2 linked regions of the Drosophila melanogaster genome follow. The protein of the gene in region 2 purifies or fractionates together with the protein of the main gene of each other region. This does not show direct contact. Each region holds a gene or a part of one and is shown on either strand. Other genes may lie near its edges.

The links. Proteins that work in one complex are often made in the same cells at the same time.
Region 1: the proteins of rtp (region 2) and ninaC purify together in Drosophila melanogaster (affinity purification with western blotting; one study listed by BioGRID). This does not show direct contact.

The regions. Positions count from the first base shown.
Region 1 is NT_033779.5:7,375,751-7,383,741, forward strand, and holds the start of ninaC (neither inactivation nor afterpotential C), read left to right. Parts: upstream 1-1,951; 5' UTR 1,952-2,115; intron 2,116-2,634; 5' UTR 2,635-2,650; coding exon 2,651-2,938; intron 2,939-3,033; coding exon 3,034-3,897; intron 3,898-3,955; coding exon 3,956-4,893; intron 4,894-4,961; coding exon 4,962-5,254; intron 5,255-5,313; coding exon 5,314-5,585; intron 5,586-5,652; coding exon 5,653-5,939; intron 5,940-6,005; coding exon 6,006-6,155; intron 6,156-6,210; coding exon 6,211-6,308; intron 6,309-6,371; coding exon 6,372-6,425; coding exon of another isoform or gene 6,426-6,589; exon of another isoform or gene 6,590-7,007; coding exon 7,008-7,195; intron 7,196-7,260; coding exon 7,261-7,676; intron 7,677-7,728; coding exon 7,729-7,991. Other genes in the region: Wnt10 (Wnt oncogene analog 10), read left to right, coding at 1-69, 1,322-1,509. UniProt on the Drosophila melanogaster protein: Required for photoreceptor cell function. The ninaC proteins combines putative serine/threonine-protein kinase and myosin activities. Essential for the expression and stability of the rtp protein in the photoreceptors.
Region 2 is NT_033777.3:5,235,585-5,239,197, forward strand, and holds rtp (retinophilin), read right to left. Parts: upstream 1,732-3,613; 5' UTR 1,676-1,731; coding exon 1,648-1,675; intron 1,590-1,647; coding exon 1,289-1,589; intron 1,083-1,288; coding exon 815-1,082; 3' UTR 508-814; downstream 1-507. Other genes in the region: Mms19, read left to right, coding at 1-144, 259-450; CtsF (cathepsin F), read right to left, coding at 2,307-2,572, 2,629-2,810, 2,870-3,613. UniProt on the Drosophila melanogaster protein: Plays a role in promoting axonal degeneration following neuronal injury by toxic insult or trauma.

The DNA.
Region 1 (7,991 bases), on a different chromosome or scaffold from region 2:
AGACATCGCTGTTCTACTATCAGCGCTCGCCCAACTTTTGTGAGCGCGATCTGGGAGCTGATATACAGGGTGAGTTAATGTTCGTACTATAACATTTTCATTTTCCAATTATTATACTCACTCAATATTCAGCTTAAACATCTTATCAGTTTAACGTCCTACCCACATAACCATTACTTAATAAGTTAATTTACAATTTTGTCGTTAGAAAATGCGTTGCAACTAATTAAAAATGATTTACCGATACGAAGCGAGCGATAAATTTGATTTGGCTCTAATAAATAAATCTCAAATGCAAATGAACAACGCCAGCAACCGCAAATGCAGCAAAAATGTATTTTTCTTTTTTTTTTTTTTGGTTTGTGTTTTAAACGGGCTACCAAACCTGCCACATAATTTACGAAAAAAATGCGACAGCGACGCATGCGCACAGCAGCTCAGCTTAGCTTAGCTCAGTTTGGATCGGATCGGATTGGATTGGTTCGGATCAGCTCAACTCAGTTTGGATTGTATAAAGCAGTGGCGGAGACTGAAAATCTGAGGGGGGTTCTTATTTGACATTCTTAAAATAAAGGTTTTTGATATGTTATCTAAACTACAATTGGCCGAAACATACTAAAAGAAAATCGTTACTTTTTATGCTTGGAAATGAGTTTGGGTTAATTGTATCCCCTCATTTCTCCCCCCTTGCTTGTACTCTGGCTTGGGGGATCGGTCGAAACTGCGGCACGTTCACATCGAAATCGACGTCTAACTGCCACTTGCAATTTTCGTTAGCCATTTTGCTGTTGACACATTTGCAAATTATCAAGCGTCGCTGCTGCCCCGCCAACTGCCAGCAGTTTAAAAGTGTTAATTACGACGCAAATTTATAATTAATCGTCGGCTTAGCCCGGTAACTCCAGCTTCACTTCAAGCTCCAACTCAGGCTCCAACAGCAGTGAACTGGGGAGCAGCCAGCCCATCGGGCGTTTTGATTCATGTGTCCGTGTCCGGTGTCGTGTCTATTCAAATGATAGCAATTAACGCTGGCAATTATCGTCGGCCAAACAATTATGATACTTTGTTTGTGCTTTAGTTTAATAGTTTATTTATGGTCTTTTAATTGCTTGTCCGCCAGTAGGCGGGATTAACTGCCATTTGGCGATGGATTGCATTTGATGAGAACACTTAATCATTTGCTAATTACGCAAATCTTACACCACTAATTTTATTAACTTGTTATTTTTATATTTTAATAGATACCACATAATTTTCTTTTCTGATGATTATATCTTTAGAAAAACATAAACATGACTAATCTGAGCCAATTTCCGCACAGGCACCGTGGGACGCAAGTGCAATCGGAACACCACGACCAGCGACGGATGCACCTCCCTCTGCTGTGGCCGTGGCCACAGCCAGGTCATCCAGCGGAGGGCGGAGCGGTGTCACTGTAAATTCCAATGGTGCTGTAATGTGGAGTGCGAGGAGTGCCACGTAGAGGAATGGATTAGCATATGCAATTAAGGACAATGGACGCAAGACGAAGGACGATGAAGTGATGGAGCGATGGAGCCTCAGCCACATGCATAAGAAAAGACTTTTCTTCATTCTCACAGAACTTAACACACAAAGAAATCAGTATTACAGAAAAAAAAACATAAAGTACGCAATAGGGCAAACATCAATAAACAACGTGTGTGAATGCAATGCCTAGTTTAGCAATCTCCAGCCATTTGGAATACGTATAAATATATTTTGTAAATACGAACAATAAGATGCATAATTAGTCTGTCAATCAGCTGACTTTCACTCGCATTGCCAATTTCCCTTTCACCTCGGCATTTTGGCCATCTGTGTCGCCGCTTTTTTCACTTGCACGTGAATGTCGCCGCCGCTAATTGAATTAGCCAGCTAAATAGTTGTCCAAGGTGTGCACCCAGGTACTGCCCATTGAATGGCTTCCTTCCTTGCCAGTGAAAAGCCTCCGATTGCATTGGCCCATCATTTAGTTGGCTAACGGCAGCGGTACGTGCTGCATGCGTGCGGTCGGTTCGAAGTTCCACACAAGTACATCCTTGCAACCAAAAATACACAGCTGCAGGATAAGTGTGCCAATCTGCGGCAGCGAAGGTGTGTCCTGAAGGATTAAGTGTTTGAAGCCCTGTGAAGTGGATATAATACAAATAACCCCCTAGAATCCCTTTATCCAAAGTTGCTGATTCAAAATACAAACCTAGGAAGGATTAATTACCAAGGATAAATCGTACATTTAACTTTTTCGTTTTCACATGAATTATTTAAGTGTTTTATAGAAAATGGTTTTATTATAATTTTACATTTCAAAATTGCATCTTATTTGTTTAAAGGTCCTTGAAATCTTTCGTGCTTGCAAAGCAAACATTCCAAAATATCCTTACGTTAAGTAAACCAAAGTAACTTAACTTTCACCTTTAAAGAAAAAGCAAATTGTTATTAGAAGCAAAAGATTACAATGAAACCTCTAGAATGCCCATTCTTAAGTGTTTTGCAACAATGAACCCAAATATAATGCGATTTGCATGAGGGAAAATTGAAAAAGAAAACCTTTGAAGCCCATTTTATGATAGACCCAATTCCCAAGTTTAACCCACATGTTCTTCGAATATTCAGAATAAGCATCTAAGTCATGATGTATTTACCGTACGCGCAATTGCCGGATCCTACGGATAAATTCGAGATCTACGAGGAGATAGCCCAAGGCGTCAATGCCAAGGTTTTTCGGGCCAAGGAGCTCGACAATGATCGGATCGTTGCCCTGAAGATTCAGCACTACGATGAGGAGCACCAGGTTTCCATCGAGGAGGAGTATCGCACTCTGCGGGACTACTGCGACCATCCCAATCTTCCCGAGTTCTATGGCGTCTACAAGCTGTCGAAGCCAAACGGACCTGATGAGATCTGGTTTGTCATGGAGGTGAGTCAAAACATTTTGTTAATATTTTATTAAATTTTTTCCAAAAATTTAAATCCAATTTTTTGTAATTTATATAAACCATTTGAATATTTCAGTACTGCGCTGGGGGAACAGCAGTGGACATGGTTAACAAGCTTTTGAAACTGGATCGTCGAATGCGAGAGGAGCACATCGCCTACATTATCCGGGAGACTTGCCGTGCTGCCATCGAGCTGAACCGTAATCATGTCCTGCATCGGGACATTCGGGGAGATAACATATTGTTGACCAAAAATGGACGGGTCAAGCTGTGCGATTTCGGTTTATCCCGTCAGGTGGATTCCACTCTGGGCAAGAGGGGCACCTGCATTGGATCTCCCTGCTGGATGGCTCCCGAAGTGGTGTCCGCCATGGAATCCCGCGAACCGGACATCACCGTTCGTGCCGATGTCTGGGCCTTGGGAATCACTACCATTGAGTTGGCCGATGGAAAGCCACCGTTCGCTGACATGCATCCCACTAGGGCCATGTTCCAGATCATTCGCAATCCACCGCCGACCTTAATGCGACCCACTAATTGGTCGCAGCAGATCAATGATTTTATATCCGAGAGTTTGGAGAAAAATGCCGAAAATCGGCCCATGATGGTTGAGATGGTGGAGCATCCATTCCTCACGGAGCTCATCGAAAACGAGGACGAGATGCGATCGGACATCGCAGAAATGTTGGAACTCTCTAGGGATGTAAAGACTTTGTACAAGGAGCCGGAATTGTTCGTGGACCGCGGCTATGTGAAGAGGTTCGATGAGAAGCCGGAAAAGATGTATCCGGAGGACTTGGCTGCCTTGGAAAATCCCGTGGATGAAAACATAATCGAGTCACTGCGTCATCGCATTTTGATGGGGGAATCGTACAGTTTCATTGGCGATATCCTTTTATCCTTGAATTCCAATGAAATCAAGCAGGAATTTCCGCAGGAGGTAAGTTGAAAACATCTAATATGTATACTTAAATATGTTATATTTATCCTTTCTCTAGTTCCATGCCAAGTATCGCTTCAAGTCGCGTTCGGAAAACCAGCCGCATATTTTCTCGGTGGCCGATATCGCCTACCAGGATATGCTGCATCATAAGGAGCCGCAACACATCGTGCTCTCCGGAGAGAGCTACTCGGGCAAGTCCACAAATGCCCGGCTGCTAATCAAGCATCTGTGCTACTTGGGTGATGGAAATCGTGGGGCCACCGGGCGCGTGGAGAGCTCCATCAAGGCCATCCTGATGTTGGTGAATGCAGGAACTCCGGTAAACAACGACTCCACAAGATGTGTCCTACAATATTGCTTGACCTTTGGAAAAACCGGCAAAATGAGTGGGGCCGTTTTTAATATGTATATGCTGGAGAAACTACGAGTGGCCACTACGGACGGAACCCAGCACAACTTCCACATCTTCTACTACTTCTACGACTTTATTAATCAGCAAAATCAGCTTAAGGAGTACAATCTGAAGGCTGATCGCAATTATCGTTATCTGCGAGTTCCGCCAGAGGTTCCGCCATCGAAACTCAAGTATCGTCGTGATGATCCCGAGGGCAATGTGGAGAGGTACAGGGAGTTCGAGAACATCCTGCGGGACATTGATTTCAATCACAAGCAATTGGAGACCGTTCGCAAAGTTTTGGCTGCCATTTTGAACATTGGCAACATCCGTTTCCGGCAGAACGGAAAGTATGCGGAAGTGGAGAACACGGACATTGTGTCCCGGATCGCCGAGCTCCTCCGTGTGGATGAGAAAAAGTTCATGTGGTCTCTGACCAACTTCATTATGGTCAAGGGCGGGATCGCCGAGAGGCGACAGTACACCACTGAAGAAGCTAGGGATGCACGCGATGCGGTGGCCAGCACGCTCTACTCTCGATTGGTGGACTTTATCATCAACAGGATTAACATGAACATGTCCTTCCCACGGGCTGTGTTGTAAGTAATATTAAAAAAAAAGTTACAAATTCATAAGTTTAACAATGTGGCTTAAATAACTTTTTAAGCGGAGACACAAATGCCATCATTATTCACGACATGTTTGGATTTGAGTGCTTTAATCGAAATGGTCTGGAGCAACTAATGATCAATACTCTAAACGAGCAAATGCAATATCACTACAATCAACGTATTTTTATCAGCGAAATGCTGGAAATGGAAGCTGAAGACATTGACACCATCAACTTGAATTTCTATGACAACAAGACAGCTCTGGATAATCTGCTAACCAAACCGGATGGCCTGTTCTACATCATTGACGATGCCTCACGCTCCTGTCAAGATCAGGATTTGATTATGGGTATACAACCAATTCTGGCACCACTTTGGATATGTGATTTAACCACTTTCCATCTACAGATCGCGTTTCGGAGAAGCACAGCCAGTTTGTGAAGAAGCACACTGCCACTGAAATATCCGTGGCTCATTACACGGGCCGCATCATCTATGATACGCGCGCCTTCACCGACATCAACCGGGACTTTGTGCCGCCGGAAATGATCGAGACCTTCCGCTCCTCGCTGGATGAGAGCATCATGCTCATGTTCACCAATCAACTGACCAAGGCTGGCAATCTCACCATGCCATTCGAGGCAGTGCAGCATAAGGATGAATCTGAACGGAAGTCATATGTAAGTCTGTCACAGTTTTTATTAGCTAACCTAAATTTGGTATATTTTTGTAAACTATGCATTTCAGGCCTTGAATACCCTAAGTGCCGGATGCATCTCCCAAGTGAACAATCTACGTACCCTGGCGGCCAACTTCCGCTTCACCTGCCTGACCCTGCTCAAAATGCTAAGCCAGAATGCAAATCTCGGCGTGCACTTCGTTCGCTGCATTCGCGCTGATCTGGAGTACAAGCCCAGATCCTTCCACTCGGATGTCGTCCAGCAACAGATGAAGGCCTTGGGAGTTCTGGACACTGTTATTGCTCGCCAGAAGGGATTCAGCTCGCGTCTGCCATTCGACGAGTTCCTAAGGCGGTGGGTAATCGATTCCATTCCAGTTTCCATTTAAAGATTTCTAAATATTTAAAATATTCGTATTAGATACCAATTCCTTGCCTTTGACTTTGATGAGCCCGTGGAAATGACCAAGGATAACTGTCGTCTATTATTCTTGCGCCTCAAGATGGAAGGCTGGGCCTTGGGCAAGACCAAGGTGTTTTTGCGCTACTATAACGATGAGTTCTTAGCCAGGTGAGCTATCAATTCATACGCATTGAGAAAAGCAAGTACTATCAATTGCTTTCAGATTGTATGAGCTGCAGGTGAAGAAGGTCATCAAAGTGCAGTCCATGATGCGAGCTTTGCTAGCACGGAAACGAGTTAAGGGCGGCAAAGTTTTCAAATGTAAGATATAAATAATACTTATACAGTATATGGTATGAAATCTAATTTTAAATTCCCTATTAGTGGGCAAAAAGGGACCGGAGCATCATGATGTGGCCGCGTCCAAAATACAAAAAGGTAAAAAAACGCAGGTGGATAGGCTAAGAGAGTACGACGAGGAGCACATCGACATAAGCGAGACGCCCTCGGAGGCGGAGGAGATGTTCCTCGAGGCCAGAATGGATGAGGCTCTGGCAGCGGTGCGAATAGCCAAAATCGAGCAGGCCTCCGCCGAGGAATAGGCCCCTACTATATACCATTTATACACACTATATCACTATATCGATCGATACTAATCGTAATACGACTACCAATAAAATGTAGAAAACGCAAACAACCAGCTATCATCTAGTCTAGGGCCTCGGCAAACCACTTAAGCCGCTTAGTGGTGTCCAATGTGGATACCATCCCACCCCATCCCGCTGGGCGGTTGTGTTCTCCATCTGATGCAACCAATCGGCTTATAGCTGTCTGAGACATAACACTTAACATCGACGGCCCCTGCGAAAAGAGATGAATTATAAGTGCTGCGTAGAAAAGAAATGAAAATTTAATTAAATTAAGGTGACTTCCCTCTCATTCACCACCACCGTCCACCGCCGCGACCGCTTTTCAAATGGGTTACTCTAACGGCCTTCCTCCGTTTCCATTTTCCCACAGCCTTCAGGGGATTCCGCGACCGCGTCCGCCTCCCTCCGCTGGTCAACGAGAAGTCCGGCCAACTAAACGAGAACACCGCCGACTTTATCCGTCCGTTTGCCAAGAAATGGCGCGAGAAGTCTATCTTCCAGGTCCTCCTGCACTACCGCGCGGCTCGCTTCCAGGACTTTGTCAATCTCTCACAGCAGGTGAGTTCAAATCTCTTATCTTCAAATCCAATATATATATATATATATATTATATTATGTACCAGGTCCACATCTACAACCAACGAATGGTGGCTGGCTTGAATAAATGTACTCGGGCTGTGCCCTTCGAGAGGATCAATATGCGCGAAGTGAACTCCTCGCAGCTAGGACCACTGCCAGTGCCCATAAAAAAGATGCCATTCCGCCTGGATCAGATACCCTTCTATGACACCCAGTATATGGTGGACCCGGCCAATTCCATTTCCCGCCAAGCCTTCCCCAATCAGCTACTAACGCAGCACATGGAGGACGATGAGCCTTGGGACAGCCCTCTGCAACGCAATCCTTCGATGACTTCTTGTGCCCTGACCTACAATGCCTATAAGAAGGAGCAGGCTTGCCAGACCAACTGGGATCGCATGGGCGAGAGCGACAATATCTACAATCAGGGCTACTTCCGAGATCCCCAACAGCTGAGGAGGTTAGCAAAGATACTCAAAGGTTGAACTTAAGTTTCTAACACTTTTTTTCAGAAATCAAATGCAGATGAACATGAATGCCTATAACAATGCCTACAACAGCTATAACAGCAACTATAACAACCAGAACTGGGGCGTACATCGATCCGGATCCAGGCGCAACTCCTTGAAGGGCTATGCGGCGCCTCCACCTCCTCCTCCACCAATGCCCTCATCCAACTATTATCGCAATAATCCGAACCAGCAGCAACGCAACTATCAGCAAAGATCCTCGTATCCTCCGTCGGATCCAGTTAGAGAACTTCAGAACATGGCTC
Region 2 (3,613 bases):
CACAACGAGGCGCAGTCGCTGTGCATTGCATTGGGCATCTGTGAAAAGTTTGTGGCGCAGCAGGACACGTATTTCCAAGGGCATTTGGCCCACCTCATACCCAGCTGTCTGGAGCTGTCGAAATACAAGGCTCAGCATACCATGGTAAGTTAAACATGCACATATTATTATAAAGATTTGATAGTTAATTGAGGAGGTTTCTTAACTTGTAAAGGAAAATGTCGAACACAAAACTTAAACTCATTTTCTTTCTTATAGCAAGTGCGAATTGCGGCGCTGCAGCTGCTCTACGATGTGACAAAGTATCCTACCTTCGTCCTGTTGCCCCACAAAGTCGATGTTACTCTGGCCCTGGCCGCCGCCTTGGATGATCCCAAGCGTCTGGTGCGGAACACAGCGGTGAAGGCCAGGAATGCGTGGTACCTGGTCGGTGCGCCTAGTCCGAATTAGCAGAGAAACAACTCCGTTCTTGTTAATATTATAATCCAATAAGCACACGCACAAATTCTTCATAATTTTCTTGTTGTTTTTATTAGGGTGCGTTGAAGAATTTTTGATAAAGAATTTGGAAAAAGCAAAATTATAAAGTAAACGCGAAATTGTATGCATTTTATATTACTTAGATACATTTACGAACGTTTATGCGCAAATGTATTAAAGTTTAAGATGTTAAGAAAGAAATGCTTATTTCTTTTCTTAAAGGCACCTTTTTCTGTTTTATGACTTGAGACTCTTACAGTCGGTTACTAAAATTTGTATTTTTAAACTGTACGTGTTTATCAATACCAACTGGTAACCAATCTGAAGTGTCTGTTCAGTATGGGTGTTCGCACTGGGAACGGGCCATAAGAGCGCACTTTTGTGCACGCTGCACCACCTCGGGACATCGACGTCGTCTCATAAAGCGGCAGTCTTGAAAGAATCCCTCGTTTCTGGGAAAGCCGTGCGTGAAGTCCTGGAACGTCAGCAATCCCAGGCCCCAGATCTTGCCGCCTCGAAACTCGCCCTCGTACTTCATTCCATCGGCTCTCCAGAAGATCCCATTACCATGAAACCAGCCCTGATGAAACTCGCCTTCGTATCTGTCTTAAAAATGTGCAAAATGAATCATCATATACAATTTTCTTCACTGGATGCAAACCCTAGGTAAATTATAGCTAAACCATTTCTGATCAAGAATATATATACTAGCATTTCCTCTTACTCCCCGAGTAGTGGCTACAAGAATAGTTTTCAAGTGCTACAATATTTCGTTTAGGTTTACATCACTAATATTATTGAAACTGACTTTGCTCCATCCGCGAACCAGAGGCAGCCCACTCCTTGACTAAGACCCTCCTGGAACTGCCCATCGTAGCGGGTGCCATCGGCGAACTGCAGATGCCCGATGCCGTGCTTTTGGCCACGCTGGTTCCACTCGCCGATGTAGCGACTGGCGTCCTCGTATCGCCATCCGCCCACTTTGACCGCCCCTGCGCTGTACTGGCTTTGACCCTGGCCCTGTTGGTGGTGTCCATGCTGACCCTGCTGGTGGGGGTGCTGTTGGTGCTGGTTCTCGATTCGGGCCGTGGTCACGCCCACGCTGCTCACTGGGTAATGATTTTTACGCAATTTTGTATCTGCATCCTTTTGTCTGTGTTCACTTACTGTCATCATCGTAGTCGTCCATGGCCATTGCTCCGCTACCGCCCGCGATGCGCTTCAAGCTGCTACTGAGCTGGCTGGTTCTGCACCAGAAACACTCATTTTCTATGGCTTCCCACGGTGCGACGGCCCTGGTCTAAATCTAATTAACATATTGCACTTCTACACACTGACAAAGTGTTTGAAAATCAATCATCAAAATCACTGGGTCAAATGTTCCAGTAATTGAAGCAGTTATAAATATTTCTTAACAGCCAATAATACTCTGGCACCCATATTTAATCAAACCATTTTAATCGAATAATTTGAATACATCTCACATAAATTCAACATTTTTCTTGATCCAACCAACCATCAATCTTGACCAACTGTTGCTGCGGCCAGAGCTGTCATGGATTCAATAATAAACCCAACCAGGTTTTAATTCTTGTACAATTTATTGTTATTTTCAATTAAAGCGGAATATGTGGATGCAGACTTTTTCGTGAGATTACAGATGTCTGAAATGATTATACTATATAGGCGAAGCTTTGAAACTCAACGACTCCTTATCGTGACGGTTGAAGAACATGGAAACAGAATTAATTGTACACAAAGTTACTGGCTAAATTATTAACCTAGATATAGTCGTATGCTTGTATATAATTGGACTCAAAGCAAGTCTAGGCCAGCACAGCCGAAGTGGCCATTTCGCTGACGCCGCAAGTGTTGTCACCACGATAAACGCGATAATAGCCCTGCTCTCCCCAGCGCGGACCCCACGAGTTCTTCACAATCCAGTAGGGCAAGGTCTTGTGGAAATTGGGATAGTCGGAGACGCCATACCCCACAACTAGAACACCGTGGTCGAGGTTTTTCTTGGAGCACAGGGCCTTCCACGGATGGGAAACTCCGCCGCGATAGAACTGCATAGCATTCGCATTGATGCCTAGAGAAATGATCTGGTTAAGTGGGCTTTGGGGTTAATTTTCTGCATCGACTTACCGATCGAAATGGGACCATTGGCGAGAAGCCACTCCTGCATGGCGGTCTCATTTCCCTTCGGCAGATCCACGAAGCCGGCAACCTGAACGTGGGACAAAGTCCTGTTGAAGTGGCACTGATTCTTTTTGGCCTTGTATGGGTACTCAGCCTCGTACTCTAGGCCGCCAATATCCTTAATGGCCCTGCGGAGGAATTATTACATAAGTATCTACATCGTAATGTTCATTCCCTCGTAACTTACTTGTAAGCATTGTCCATGAGGCCGCCGTTGCAGGCACTATCCGTGGTATCACAGTCCAGCAGCTCCTGTTCGGAGAACTCTTTCAATTCGCCCGTTTTCACTGCGTACAGGCCTTCGATGTTGCCGGTCACACTGAAGGCCCAGCATGAACCGCAGGATCCCTGATTCTTCACCTGGGTGACAGCATCCTTCTGCCTCCAGTCAAACTCCTTCGGCAGTTCACCATGGTAAGCCGGTACGACAGCCGCCGATCCGCCAGTGGCCTTTGCCTCATCACGCTGCCAGAGTCCCGTGCGTTCCTTGTATTCCGAGCTGGTCATATCAGCAAACTCCGTGATGCCGTACTTGGCGCTGCCCATCTCGTTGGCGTTTAGCTCCTCGATAGTCTTCAGGTTCTGACGGAAAATGCGCAGGCGCATCTGGCGCTCGGCGGTGCTTACGTAGCGACGGCCAAATCGCACCTGGAACTTGTAGAAGAGGTGGTCCACCTTGTCAAAGCGATGGCTGTGCTTCTTGTGCGTCTTCTTCTCGGCCCACTCCACGGATCGCGTGTGTCGGGCCTGGACCACCGGCTGGTTGCGGCACTTAAAGGTGATTTCGTGCTCATCCTTCCTCACCCAGACCTTTGTCCAGATATCCACGATACAGCGGTGCTGCTCCTCCGACCCGTCGATTAGATCCGCATCGATGCGGGTCAAGATGCCTGAATCCACTTGCCGCGAGGCTGAGTATACTTTCACAATT